Pelodiscus sinensis: one gene and its partner. The protein of the gene in region 2 purifies or fractionates together with the protein of the main gene of each other region. This does not show direct contact. Links are inferred from orthologs where the notes say so. Each region holds a gene or a part of one and is shown on either strand. Other genes may lie near its edges.

The links.
Region 1: the proteins of OSBPL8 (region 2) and GLG1 purify together in Homo sapiens (co-immunoprecipitation; 3 studies listed by BioGRID and IntAct, with this or other methods). This does not show direct contact. The link is inferred for Pelodiscus sinensis from reciprocal best matches to the Homo sapiens genes OSBPL8 and GLG1.

Annotation. Positions count from the first base shown.
Region 1 is NC_134722.1:48,258,010-48,265,062, forward strand, and holds the start of GLG1 (Golgi apparatus protein 1), read left to right. Parts: upstream 1-4,042; 5' UTR 4,043-4,074; coding exon 4,075-4,341; intron 4,342-7,053. UniProt on the Homo sapiens protein: Binds fibroblast growth factor and E-selectin (cell-adhesion lectin on endothelial cells mediating the binding of neutrophils).
Region 2 is NC_134711.1:68,315,116-68,322,956, reverse strand, and holds the start of OSBPL8 (oxysterol-binding protein-related protein 8), read left to right. Parts: upstream 1-4,823; 5' UTR 4,824-4,890; coding exon of another isoform or gene 4,891-4,932; intron 4,933-7,841. UniProt on the Homo sapiens protein: Lipid transporter involved in lipid countertransport between the endoplasmic reticulum and the plasma membrane: specifically exchanges phosphatidylserine with phosphatidylinositol 4-phosphate (PI4P), delivering phosphatidylserine to the plasma membrane in exchange for PI4P, which is degraded by the SAC1/SACM1L phosphatase in the endoplasmic reticulum.

The DNA.
Region 1 (7,053 bases), on a different chromosome or scaffold from region 2:
TGGACACAAAATTGGTAGCCGCGTCTGCAAGAATGATTCATTGATCACGGCAGCCACATCCGCAGATGTGCATTCCTGCAGATATAAAGCAGGTCTCCGCAAATGTGCAAGGTTCTAGATACAAAGTTTTTATCTGCATCTGTGTCCATACCCGCAAAAACGAGCTGCAGATATCATACCTGTGGATATCAGCGGATATCCGCAGACTTGTGGGGCTCTAGAAATCATCATGAAACAAAATCCTGTGAGATGCACGTTATCTCCCTGTGTGGGGAGGACGGACTAGAAACTTCCTCTTAACATTTCATAAATATTATTCATTTGTTTTACTTTCAATTCTAGAAGCTACTAACCACAGTGATGAAAGAACAGCATATCGGCACCTCCACAGAACTGGGTAACTCAGAATCCCAGCTGTCAGTGTGGGTTAGTGGCAGTGGAACTCTCCTTTGCCTGCTCTTGAGAAGCGGAGTGGGTGCTAGAGAGGCTGGGCACTGGCAGGGTGCCAGGGGTCCCAGGACAACTGGGAAGGGGGATCAGGGATGCTGGGGGTCCTGGGACTGAGGGCAGCAGAGAGGGCATGGTAGAGGCTGGGGAAGCATGGAGGGGGCCAGGGTCCCAGAGCAGTGGGGGAGGGATGCAGGGATGCCAGGCCCTGAGGGGAGCAGGGGGTCCCGGAGCAGCGGGGAGGGTTGCAGGGATGCCGGGCCCTGGGGGGGCAGCGGGTCCCGGGGCAGAGGGGGAGGGTTGCAGGGATGCCGGGGCCTGAGGGATCAGAGGGTCCCGGAGCAGGAGGGCGGGTTGCAGGTGTGACGGCGCGTTGGGGGTCCCCCGTCTCCTGCACCCCGAAATGGCACAAACAGACTGCACCAGCCGGTGGGATAGAGGAAGTTTATTGCCTCTCCAGGATACAGCACAGCACAGATGTAGTCTGGTCACAGAGCTGGGCTAGGATGCCTCAGGCCCCCTTGAGATGGGGGAGACTGGGCCCCTAAACTCCAGCTCCTCTCCCTAGGCTGTCTCCTCCATGCTCACAGCCAGCCAGCAACCAACTAACTTCCAGCCCTGCCCCCCAGCCAGGGCAGCATTCCACCTTCCTTTGTTCCTCTCCATGGGGGGTGTCTGGCCATTCTGGTTTGCATAGTGACACATCCTGTTTTGCTGGGTCGTGGTACCCACGGCAGCCAGTGGGGGTTACCCCAGAGCCAGCAGCATAGAAACCAGCCAGGTACCCCCACTACGTCACAGCAGGGATGCCAGGCCCTGGGGCGGCAGGGGGTCCCGGAGCAGGGGGGCGGGTTGCAGGGGGAGCAGGGGGTCCCGGAGCAGGAGGGCGGGTTGCAGGGATGCCGGGCCCTGGGGGGCGGGGCAGGGGGTCCCAGAGCAGGGGGGCGGGTTGCAGGGGAGGCAGGGGGTCCCGGAGCAGGGGGCGGGTTGCAGGGATGCCGGGCCCTGGGGGGCGGGGCAGGGGGTCCCAGAGCAGGGGGGCGGGTTGCAGGGGAGGCAGGGGGTCCCGGAGCAGGGGGGCGGGTTGCAGGGATGCCGGGCCCTGGGGGGCGGGGCAGGGGGTCCCAGAGCAGGGGGGCGGGTTGCAGGGGAGGCAGGGGGTCCCGGAGCAGGGGGCGGGTTGCAGGGATGCCGGGCCCTGGGGGGCGGGGCAGGGGGTCCCGGAGCAGGGGGCGGGTTGCAGGGGGTCCCGGAGCAGGGGGCGGGTTGCAGGGATGCCGGGCCCTGGGGGGCGGGGCAGGGGGTCCCAGAGCAGGGGGGCGGGTTGCAGGGGAGGCAGGGGGTCCCGGAGCAGGGGGCGGGTTGCAGGGGGTCCCGAAGCAGGGGGCGGGTTGCAGGGATGCCCGGCCCTGGGGGGCGGGGCAGGGGGTCCCAGAGCAGGGGGGCGGGTTGCAGGGGAGGCAGGGGGTCCCGGAGCAGGGGGCAGGTTGCAGGGGGTCCCGGAGCAGGGGGCGGGTTGCAGGGATGCCGGGCCCTGGGGGGCAGGGGGTCCCGGAGCAGGGGGACGGGTTGCAGGGGGGGCAGGGGGTCCCGGAGCAGGGGGCGCGTTGCAGGGGGGGCAGGGGGTCCCGGAGCAGGGGGCAGGTTGCAGGGATGCCGGGCCCTGGGGGGCGGGGCAGGGGGTCCCAGAGCAGGGGGGCGGGTTGCAGGGGAGGCAGGGGGTCCTGGAGCAGGGGGCGGGTTGTAGGGATGCCGGGCCCTGGGGGGCGGGGCAGGGGGTCCCAGAGCAGGGGGGCAGGTTGCAGGGGAGGCAGGGGGTCCCGGAGCAGGGGGCGGGTTGCAGGGGGTCCCGGAGCAGGGGGCGGGTTGCAGGGATGCCGGGCCCTGGGGGGCGGGGCAGGGGGTCCCAGAGCAGGGGGGCGGGTTGCAGGGGAGGCAGGGGGTCCCGGAGCAGGGGGCGGGTTGCAGGGGGTCCCGGAGCAGGGGGCGGGTTGCAGGGATGCCGGGCCCTGGGGGGCAGGGGGTCCCGGAGCAGGGGGGCGGGTTGCAGGGTGGGCAGGGGGTCCCGGAGCAGGGGGCGCGTTGCAGGGGGGGCAGGGGGTCCCGGAGCAGGGGGCAGGTTGCAGGGATGCCGGGCCCTGGGGGGCGGGTTGCAGGGGGGCCCGGAGCAGGGGGCGGGTTGCAGGGATGCCGGGCCCTGGGGGGCGGGGCAGGGGGTCCCAGAGCAGGGGGGCGGGTTGCAGGGGAGGCAGGGGGTCCCGGAGCAGGGGGCGGGTTGCAGGGATGCCGGGCCCTGGGGGGCGGGGCAGGGGGTCCCAGAGCAGGGGGGCGGGTTGCAGGGGAGGCAGGGGGTCCCGGAGCAGGGGGCGGGTTGCAGGGATGCCGGGCCCTGGGGGGCGGGGCAGGGGGTCCCAGAGCAGGGGGGCGGGTTGCAGGGGAGGCAGGGGGTCCCGGAGCAGGGGGCGGGTTGCAGGGATGCCGGGCCCTGGGGGGCGGGGCAGGGGGTCCCGGAGCAGGGGGCGGGTTGCAGGGGGTCCCGGAGCAGGGGGCGGGTTGCAGGGATGCCGGGCCCTGGGGGGCAGGGGGTCCCGGAGCAGGGGGGCGGGTTGCAGGGGGGGCAGGGGGTCCCGGAGCAGGGGGCGCGTTGCAGGGGGGGCAGGGGGTCCCGGAGCAGGGGGCAGGTTGCAGGGATGCCGGGCCCTGGGGGGCGGGTTGCAGGGGGGCCCGGAGCAGGGGGCGGGTTGCAGGGATGCCGGGCCCTGGGGGGCGGGTTGCAGGGGGGCCCGGAGCAGGGGGGCGGGTTGCAGGGGGGCCCGGAGCAGGGGGGCGGGTTGCAGGGGGGCAGGGGGTCCCGGAGCAGGGGGGCGGGTTGCAGGGATGCCGGGCCCTGGGGGGCGGGGCAGGGGGTCCCGGAGCAGGGGGGCGGGTTGCAGGGGGGGCTGGGGGTCCCGGAGCAGGGGGCGGGTTGCAGGGGGGGCAGGGGGTCCCGGAGTAGGGGGGCGGGTTGCAGGGGGGGCTGGGGGTCCCGGAGCAGGGGGGCGGGTTGCAGGGGGGGGCAGGGGGTCCCGGAGCAGGGGGGCAGGTTTCAGGGGGGGCTGGGGGTCCCGGAGTAGGGGGCGGGTTGCAGGGATGCCGGGTCCTGGGGGGCAGGGGGTCCCGGAGCAGGGGGCGGGGCAGGGGGTCCCGGAGCAGGGGGGCGGGTTGCAGGGATGCCGGGCCCTGGGGGGCGGGGCAGGGGGTCCCGGAGCAGGGGGGCGGGTTGCAGGGATGCCGGGCCCTGGGGGGCGGGTTGCAGGGGGTCCCGGAGCAGGGGGGCGGGTTGCAGGGGGGCCCGGAGCAGGGGGCGGGTTGCAGGGGGGCAGGGGGTCGGGGCGGAGCGGCGCGGAGCAGCAGGCGCACGTGGGGACCCGGCGCTCGCAGGGACCCAGCGGCTCGGCGCGAGGGCGGGGTCGGCTCCCATCAGCCAAGGACTGCGGGGGCGAGCGCATGCGCGGCGCGCGGGCGCCAGAGAAAGGGGCGCGTCGCCGCCCGCGCGCTCGGTGGCGTCCCGGCGTGGCGCGGGCTGCTGCGCCTGCGCGCTGGGCGCGGGGGCGGGCCGGGCGGCGGGCCGGAGGTGTCGGATCCAAGATGGCGCCGTGCGGACGTGTCCGGAGCCGCGGGCCGGGCCCGCTGGCGCTGCTGCTGCTCTCGCTCGCGCTGGCGGCCGCGCAGAGCGCCCCGCAGCCGGCGGCGGGCGGGCCGGGCCCCGGGGGGCGGGGGCCTCGCGGCGGCGCCGGCGGCGGCTGGAAGCTGGCGGAGGAGCCCGCCTGCCGCGAGGACGTGAGCCGGGTCTGCCCCAAGCACAGCTGGGCCAACAACCTGGCCGTGCTCGAGTGCCTGCAGGACGTGCGCGAGGTGCGGGGGGGGGGGCCCGGGCGTGTGAGGGGGGGTCCGGGGGGGGCAGGAGGGCATGTGAAGGGGGGCTGGGGGGGGCAGGAGGGCATGTGAAGGGGGGGTCCGGGGGGGGGCAGGAGGGCATGTGAACGGGGGCGGGGGGGCAGGAGGGCATGTGAAGGGGGGGTCCGGGGGGGGCAGGAGGGCATGTGAACGGGGGCGGGGGGGCAGGAGGGCATGTGAAGGGGGGTCCGGGGGGGCAGGAGGGCATGTGAAGGGGGGGCCGCGCATGTGAAGGGGTGCGGGCATGTGTGGGGGGTTCCGGGGGGGGCAGGAGGGCATGTGAAGAGGGGGCTGGGGGGGGCAGGAGGGCATGTGAAGGGGGGCTGGGGGGGCAGGAGGGCATGTGAGGGGGGGCGGGGGGGCAGGAGGGCATGTGAGGGGGGGCGGGGGGGGCCGGGCATGTGAAGGGGGGGCGGGGGCGGTAGGAGGGCATGTGAAGGGGGGCGGGGGGGGCAGGAGGGCATGTGAAGGGGGGGCTGGGGGGGGCAGGAGGGCATGTGAAGGGGGGGCAGGGCAGGTCCAGGCTTATGGTAGGAGGCCTGGGAAGTAGGCAGGGCCGGGCATGTGGAGGTGCGGAGGCCTGGGGGCGAGCGGTGGCAGGCCAGGGGCCCCAGGTTCTGGCCTTGTAGGGGCCGAGCACCCAGGTGGCTGCAGAGGGAGGACAGCTGGCTCTGGCTGAGTCTCTGTGCTGGCTGCAGGGAGCACAGAAGGGTGCATATCAGAGCTGGGATATGCCCCTATTCACAGCTGGGCCCCCTCACTGGGCAGGCTAGGCGCCCCAGGAGCAGCACCTGGCCCCTTGGCCAAGGTGGGAAGCTCCTGTCCTTCCCCTAGCTTGGTGGTGCCCTGCATCAGTGCCACTCCTAACCCAGCTGCTGGGGTTTTGGCAGCATGCAGAGCATGGCCTGTCTCTTAGCTGAACCCAGGAATCACCCAAGTCAGGTCAATCTCTTCTCCCTTCTGTTCCGCCCTAATTTCTTAGTGCCGTTACTAGCTATGGGCGACGGTTACTCGTGTGTTATGCGTATACAAACTGCTTTTCAGGGAGTGTAATTTGAAAAGACCGGTACCCCCTACTCTTCCATTGTCTCCTGTCCTCTTTCAGGTCATTAGCCTGGGCTCTGGGAAGGAATCCACTTCCTCGCCTCAGTATCCAGCAGTAATTGGTTAGGTGCATTAGAGTGACTTTCCCTTCTTTGAAACACCATTAGATGGCTGTTTGAAGACAAGGGACTGGATTTGTTTTCTGACTAATTTGTCAGTTCCTGTTCAATGTGCATCATACTGTATTTTTCATGTGTACACATTAGGCTCGTTCCACTAGATTCAATTAATGGTTAGTAATTTTTAGAAAGAAGGGATTATGGATTCCCAGTGTGCAGTCATATATGACTGTTGAGGTTGTAGTTACATACAGTGGTTGAACTTTATTTTTATTAGTAGCTTTCTTTGGTAAGGCTAGAGCTGGCCTTTCTCCTTATACAGTATTGCACAACTCTCCTGCTGCACTGGGGTGTGTGTGTGTATCTTTCCTCTGAAGCACCAGGTAATACCCTTTCGAGGAAGAGGATACCAGTTGGATAGTGTGAACTTGCAATCTATTCAGGAGAATGATTTGTCCACGGTTTCATTTTTCCCCTATTCACTTAAAACAATAACTGGGGCTTTTTAATCATTGGAAAAACTTGATTTCCCCTCAAGATTGTCTAGTATATGGTTTAGATGAGAAGTTCAGCAGAAAGGTTAAAGCTTGCTCTGGGATTCTAATAACCCTGTAGCTGGGGGCCTCTTCTTTTGGTAACTTGTAATTTTTGCTCATGCAGTAGAAAAAAAACTCTGGGTGAACTTGTATGGTTATTTTAAATATTCCTCTTATTTTTCTGAGCGTGCTCATAAAAAGGGGTGCATCTGTGGCTTTACTATTGAGAAGTCTGGAAGAGCAATCAAAAAAGCTATGTGCTCAAGGCATTGGGCAGAAAAATCCAGCAGTGTGATAGATTCCTGTCTGAGTGAGAGAAGAGTTGTTGCATTATGTTTCCAATTCAACAAAAAGCTTTGTTTTCTGTAATTGCCAGTTATGCTTCATGAAACAAGGTTGCTCAAATGAACTCTTGGAAAAATAAAACACAAACATCCTACTGCCTGTGTGTAAACACTTTTCCCAAAGTAATCGCTCCATATCTTCCCAAAGTGATCGCTCCATCCTCATCCTCTAGAGGAAGCCTGCACAATGCCTTCTAAAGATGACCCTGGGAGCTTAAATTCATAACTTTGCTAGAAGCGGCAAATCATAGGTTTAATAAAGACACTGGATTGATGGTTTATCCCAACAATCTGTAACTCTCCCCCACCTCTTTTTTTTTTTGGTTCTGTGACTGCAGAGGTGTTAGCTGGCTACTTCATCTCCAATGGTGTCTTACAGTGTTTATTTACTACATATGCTGAACAATCTGTTGCAGCTTCTGTTTAGCTGCGACATTGTAGTTGCCATTTCCAGACCCGAAGAACAGCTCTGAGCTGAAAATGCTTGTCTTTTTCACCAGCAGAAGTTGGTCTAATAAGAGATTCACCTTTTGCTAGTTATAAGGGCTATCACGCATCATTGCATTTCTTCAAACTTGCCTAATGACTTGACTTGCAATGTATCAGAATGCACCACTTTCTTACATG
Region 2 (7,841 bases):
GAAGGCGTTCTTCAATGTAAAGAGGCCGTCTTCGAAAGAGAGCATCCAGACTCGCTGGGTGCTCTCTTTCGAAAAAGCAGATTTCTCTTTCGAAAGATCCGCCTGCAGTCTAGACGCGATCTTTTGAAAGAGGCTCTTTCGAAAGATGCTTTCGAAAGAGCCTCTTTCGAAAGAAGCCTGCAGTCTAGACATAGCCCTAGAGTCCTCTGTTAACTCAGTTATGTCAAATCACAGTCACACTGGTTGATTGTAATCACACCAATTGGGCACAATTGCAACCTACTCCAATACTTCAGTGTCTAAATCTAAAAGTTTATTCTAAATAAACAAGACAAAAAAACAAGTAGAGATGTTAAATAGTAAAACAATCATATACATGCAAAGACTTCGAAGTCCATATATGAGGTTCCTAGTAGTATTGATGAGTCTGCTTGCTTGAAAGTCACTCTGGAAGACAACTACAGCTTGGATAACTCATTCAGTCTCCCCTCCAACCCCACACCTCCCAAGCTTTGTCTCTAGAAAGGTTATTCTAGAGGTAAGAAGCAGAAATGAAGACAAAATGGAGAAGATGCAAGCTGCCTTGATTATTCCTTTTGCCATGTAGCTTCTACGGGTTGGACCTCCCTGATCTGGCACCCTTGAGACCTGTGCAGTCCCGAACAGGGTAGTTTGCCAGATCAGGGGAGGTAAGGCCTGGGGGCCTTGTGGGACTCGCCACTTGGCCACCAGCCCAGCTGATATGCTGTCCCTGGCCGGCTGGCAGGGCTCCAATCCAGGTTCCCAGCCCCGCTCCAGCCAGTGGGGCTACGTCTACCCAGCAGCCTGGCTGTTGTGGCTAGCAGAGCTCAGTTCCCGGCTGGTGGGGCTCATTTCTCCTGCCTTTGCTCCAGCTGGCAGAGCTCTGTGCCCCTAGTTGGCCATGCTCCAGCTGCCAGCCCACTGGCCAAGCTTGGTGCCCTCAGGCCACTGGCCCTGCAGGCTGCAAAACTGGCTGAGCTCCCAGCTGCTGGTAACCTCTGTGACTGGGACTTTCTAGTCCAGCAACATCTGTGGTCCTACTAGACCACAGATCATGTTGGACCAGAGAGTTCTGGACTAAAGAGGTTCAAACTATCCCAACACAAGCTGCCTAGCACCTAGCCTGGGGAGGCTAGAGTTCTGTCCATAGGCATGCCCTTACATGCTTTGTTGAATATTATGGCATAGCACTTGCCTCTTCTCAATGGGTCAGTTGAATAGTTGATGGTCCTGGGTGTACCAACAAGGCTAGGCAGTGCATTACCAAACTCTCTCTGGTTGTCACCCAGAAGCATAACACAAGTTTTGTAACACCAGACCTACATGCTCATAATCCAAAATACAAATGTGATACAAACATATAAATGAGATTATATCAATTTTGCATAAATCTTACAAGGCATATCTGGCACAACTCACTGCATTCTACAATATTGATATTCATGTCTTAAAGTGTCCCAGATTCCATATACCATCCCAGCTATGTTGTAGCAGACCCTTAAACTAAAAAGAGAATTCCTCAGTTCAGTGGTTTTAAGCTTGTCATGTAGTCGTTCATGGATGTCTTTTCCACATACTTGGCTTTCCAAGAATCTTCCGTTTGCTATCAAGTCCTGCCAGTCTCTGTCTCAGTTTTGTTTCCTCAGTTCTCCCTCTGACTGCCATATATCTGTTGTGGAATTGCTGATGAGACCCTATCCATTTTGAATTACCAGAGAGGGAGTGCAAACAAAAAATATATACCTTGTTTTTCTGCTTAGTAGAATTGTTTCTCAGACTCTACCACACTGAGGGTACATCTACACTAGCCCCCTAGTTTGAATTAGGGAGCCTAATGAGGGTGACCAAAATTGCAAATGAAGCGCGGGATTTAAATATCCCGCGCTTCGTTAGCATGTTCCTGGCTGGTCGTCATTTTGGAAATTGACTAGCCTGAAATAACCGCCCACGTCTACACACGGCAGAGAAGGGCGATTCTGAAATAAACCTCTTACTTCGAATTAATAGTTAAACTCCTTACTTGGAATGAGGTTTATTTTGGAATTGCCCTTCTCTGCCGCGTGTAGACGCGGACAGTTATTTCAGGTTAGTCAATTTCCAAAATGGCGACCAGCCGGGAACATGCTAACGAAGCGCGGGATATTTAAATCTTGTGCTTCATTTGCAATTTTGGTCGCCCTCATTAGCCTCCCTAGTTCGAACAAGGGGGCTAGTGTAGATGTACCCTGAGCGTGTTTGATTAACCACATTTTGAGAAGTCTTTCCTATAGAATAGTGTGTTTGGAGTGCTATCATGGCTGTCCCAGACTTGAAAGGATGAGCCTGTTTTGGTAACTTGAGCTGCATTTCCACAGTCAGTCTGATGCCACTTGCAGAAACTTTATTGAATCAGTAACAGTTTAGTGTGCCTATATTTCATTGTTTGCATGTTTTTGAAGACTAAAAATAATAGACTCCTTAAAATGTAAAGGACGCATTATATGGCTGAAAATTTGAGTCTGTAGCCATTGTAGTTGTGAAGTAACCCAACAGTGCACAATGTATATCAACATTGGTTTACTTGCAAATAGTATGAAACAGTAGCTCTAGGCTTTTTATCTCTATTGGATACTGGTTCAAAATCCTAACCAAGGATACTTTAAAAGTTGTCACTGTTTCTCTCATCTTGGCGGAAAGGTCTGGCTAATACTTCACCATTGTTGGATATAAGTTAGCTGCTGTCGGGATCTTGCTGAGAGCCCTTGAAATGCTGTTATGTATTTTAATACAGAAATTCTAAACTGCTCAAGATAGTTAAGACTAAAGCAGACTGTGAAGAGCTTCAGACGGATCTCACAAAACTAGGTGATGGGGCAACAAAGTGGCAAATGAATTTTCATGTTGATAAACGCAAAGTAAGGCACATTATTAGGGATTATTTTTTCCATATGTACAAAATCATGGGGACTAAATTAGCTGTTACCACTGAAGAGAGATCTTGGAGTCATTGAGTGGATGTTTTCAGAGAACTATCCACATTGTGCAGCAGCAGTCAAAAAACCAAACACAATGTTAGGAATCATTAAAAAAGGGATAGAGAAAAAGACAGAACATACCTTATTGCTTCTGTGTTAATCTATGGTACTCCTGCATCTTGAATATTGCATGCAAGTAGAGTTGTTACTCCACCTCAAAAAAATATGTATTTGGAAAAGATTCAGAAAGGAACAACAGTAATTATTAGGGATTTGGCACAGCTTCCGTATGAGGAAAGATTAATAAGACTCATTAGCTTGGAAAAAGAGACAACCTAAGGGGGTGATATGATAGGTCTATAAAACCATGGCTGCTGGTTTTATACTAGGAAGTCCTATTTACCTATTTTCATACCATGAGAACTAGGGGGTCACCAAATGAAATTAATAGGCAGCAGGTTTAAAACAAAATCAAGTATTTCTTCACGTAGTGCACAGTCAACCTGTGAAACTCTTTGCCAGAGGATGTTGTGAAGGCCAAGACTATACCAGGGTTTTAAAAAATAACTATATAAATGTATGGATAGTAGTTCCATCAACAGCTATTAGACAGGATATGCAGGGATGATGTACCTGGCTTCTGGTTGCCAGGAGCTCAGAATGGGCAATAGGGAATGAAGCGCTTAATGATTACTTGTTCTGTTCATTCCCTCTGGAGCACCTGGCTTTGGCCACAGTCAGAAGATACTGGGCTAAATGTACTTTTGGTTTGACCCAGTATGGCCGTTCTTCTGTTAAAATTTTCTCTGATTTAGCACTGTCTTACTGTGATGCATTTATTGAAATAAATGTTAATTTTATATACGGTTCCTATAGGATTTTTATCTTAATGCATGACTTTAAAAAAAAAAAAAAACTTGGTTACAGAATGTTTGATACTAGTAATTGTTCATGGTGGAATTTCTGTCCTTTTGTATGGACTGATACTGTCTCTAATTATATGATCTTATACACACACTCTTTCTCAAACCTGGCCTTAATTTGTTATGTATATTAAACAGGAATGGGGGTCCAGAGCAATCAATGTGTGTCTTCAGTGATTTTATAGTGTGGCGTGAACAAGCCTAGTATCATACTACCCTTTCCTTGTTTTATGCAAAACATTGCATCACAGGTAGGGAATAAGGTAGTAGTCCTGAAGGGGTAGAATCATGCTGTGTGTCTTGAGTAGGACTTGGGGAAAAAAAAATCCAGTCCCTGGCTTGTCCAAAAATGGCACCATAAGTGGCAAAGTCTTTTAGCCCCTGCCTCAGTTCTGTATATACTACTACTTAAATTATGGGGGGAGATCATAACAATTTCTGAATAAAATGCGACAAACAAGCTTGTAAAGGAAAACCATTCCATGTTCACTGTAGGGTTTGGATGTTGTACAGTAACGGAGGCCTGCACATTGAACTAAGAAGATGTAAGAAGCTGTAGAAGGAAACTGGTTTTTTGCTTATTGTTGACAAACTGACTTTTTAGCGCAGGTGGGATCCTGTGGGGAAAATAGTCTTTAAAAATAATGTGCCATCACAATGTGTGTAGAAAATCGGCCAACTTCAATGTGATCATTGCTTGAGTTTTACATGATTCACTTTGCAACCTTTAATTATTTTTATAGGCCTTTTGTACAGATAATATATGGAATCTTTGAGGACATTATGGTGTAAAAGATATACGGTAGGAGTAAAGTCATAATTTTTGTTGAGCAGTGTTCTGTTATACTGTTGAACATTAAGGATATCTATTGGTAAGGTTCGCTAATTTCAGCCACTGATGATGCCCTCTGTTGTTTTCTTCCAGGATATGCAAGTTTGCAGAATGGAGGAACTCTAGTTGAAAGAGATACAGAGACAAGGCATCTTTCAACATGGAGACTGTTTTGTTTGAAGGGGAATCGGACAGGATTTCGGTGAGTAACATCAATCTTATTGAACATATTCAAACTAAATTAATGTTGAGGATTTTTTAGGATAATTGATCTTTTTTTATCTTAAAATGGCAATAGTTTTTGGCAAGGTGTGTTAAAAAGTAATTTTTATATAATTGGGGTAAAATGTGCCAACACTTGCTAAGCAGGGTGTGCCTGGTCACCTTGTAGTACTACTTTTCACTACCGCGTAGGAAATGTTTGTTTGATAGAGTAGGTACTCACTATTCTGAGTAGTAGAGGGCAGTCCTGCCTGTCTTACGTTTGAGATCTTTTTGGAACTGGATTTATGAGTATTTATTTCCTTTGTATATTTTGACTCCTGATACTGACAACTTGAAATTTTAAACTTATAAAACTTTAATATTTTGAATGTGAACATCATGAAATAATTCTTACATGCCCCACAATTGAAATAGATTAAAAATCGGAAATGTGCTGAACCTATAATTTTGTGCTACTGTGAAAATTTGAATCCAGGAAAAAAAAGCTTTAAAATATTATCCTCTTTAAGACTACTGAAAAAAATTATCCAAGCTTACTTGTGAGATTTTGATGATACAAAATGCACTAATATTTTTGGGCGATGTTTGATATGTAATGGAAAGACGATTTTTGATCTTCTGTCTACATGCACAATTCTTTAAAATATTGTCATTTACTTGGCAGAGTCCAATGCTAAATTAATTTCCATACAGTATGATCTAACGGGATGTGACTTTTTTTTCTTTTAAGTACCTCTAACAAAGTACTGCAAAACTCATTTAGATTTTTTCCTTTCTTCAGAGACAATAAATGAATGCTTTTAAAATAATAAATATGTAGGTTTTTTTATCTTAATATCTCTTAGTTGCCAGTACAAAAAAAAAGGTATTTGGGCCATAAAAATAATCCAAAGAACCTGTTTTGCTGGACACAATGAGTAATATGGAGAATGTGCTTATATTTGGAGATGAGTATAAAGTGAGCTACTTTTCAACCTTACTCTAGGCTGTATATATCTCTTCCTCATTCAGAATTGAATTATTTTATGTGAGAAATTCATGCCTTTTGCTCATGTACATGAGATATCAACCACAATGTAGGGCCTGTTTGAAAAATCTCCCTTCTCCAAAATGTGTCCTGTGGTCATGGTACCTTTATTTCTGAACTGATGTGAATCTTGCACCTTTTCTCTGTTATCAGCATTTATTGAAGTGGGCTGCACTCCCTCCCAAGAGTGAGTTGGACCTTCTTGACATGGCTTATAAATGAGACCCATAGAGTAGCTTTTTTTCTAAGTTAATTAAGGTTACATATACACTGTTCTGCAGTTCAGACTATGGTCATGTCAAGAGCTGTGCTGTAATTATCATAGGCAGACCCTGTGGGCATGAACCAAAAGTTCCTAAGTTTGCATTGAAGTAGTCCTGGTTTAAATAGTCTGAACTTGAATTCATCCCCCGGAGGACCAAAAAGAGAGGAAACTTGATGACGTATTCTGGATCATGGTGGAAGGTTGAAGGGTTTGAGCAGTAGGAGCCAGAAGTGACAAGGGTTTTTAAAAAAATCCTTCACTTAATCTTGTGTGCTGTGTCCTGGTTGCTTTTGCCACAGTACTGGGGGAAAATTATTACTTAAACTTTCTGTTGCTTGAATCACAACACTATATTTCCCTTCTGCCTCTGTATGTAATTCCTGGACTATCATGGTGCTCTAAATTGGGGCTACTCAACTTTGGAAAACCCAGGGGCCACAAATGATATCCACAGCACATGCTGAGGACCGCAACTGAAGCATGACTGCATATATATGCAAATAGCTTCTTTCTCAGTGATGGGCGTGAATACAAAGATTAAGGCAAGACAACACGACATGGAGGCCCCATTTAAGTCAGTTCTGCTGATATTAATAAAATGCAATATTTACCCAATTTCCACCCATATAGCAACAGTTCTAATGAGCAATGACAGTTCAGCAATTTAACTACTAAAACACATGTCAACAGAAGACCATTATATTGACTATTTTTGTTTTTGTTTGCTTGTTTTGGCTTCACAATTTTAACAAATCAAGCAAACTGCCAATACAATATTTACTGAAATGGTCACTCTTCTACCCCAGAGCCAGGCACCCCAGCCCACTGCTTTATCTCAATGCACCCACCCCTCCCCCAGAGTCAGTCTCCCCCCTCCTCCGCCCCTCCCAACCAGAGGCAGGCACCGGAGGTATGGGACAGGTAACCCTACCTTTCAAGTGGCCGCTCCTGGCTGCCTCGGCTTGATTGCAGTTTGCACAGGGAGCAAGCACATGGCCTGCTAGCTCCTGGATCACCGTAATTCGTGGGCTTGTGCACTCCAGTACCACCCCAACCCCTCCCTCCCCCCTCAAGCCCAATGCACCCCCAGCCTCTTATCCCCCCTCAACCAAATCCCCCTCCTGCAGAGCCAGGTGCTGGAGGTATGAGACACCCTACCTTGGAAGTGGCTGCTCCCACCGCCCACTTGGAGGCTTGATTGCAGTTTGCACAGGGAGCATGTGGCCCACCAGGCACTCCCGGCTCGCTGCAATGCATTGGGCTGTGCACTATGGTTCCACCCCAGCCTGATGACCCCTAGCGTGATGCCCAAGGGCAACTGCCTCCCTCCCCCGCTATGCTTCTGCCCATGCATGCGCCGGCGTGGCGCTGCTGCTGTGGCAGACGCGGCAAGCATGCTCTGCTGCACCTTTTGCCGCTCGCCCCATTCCATTGGCTGGCAGCTCCTGCACGCACAGCCTGGCTCAAAGCCGTGCTGCTCAGCACTGCAGCTGGAGCCCCAGCAATGAGGCAGGCAGGCAGCCTGAGAAGCGGCTCAAGGTGCCGCAGGTGACATGCAAAGGGGCTGCGGGCTGTATGTGTCCCACGGGCAGTG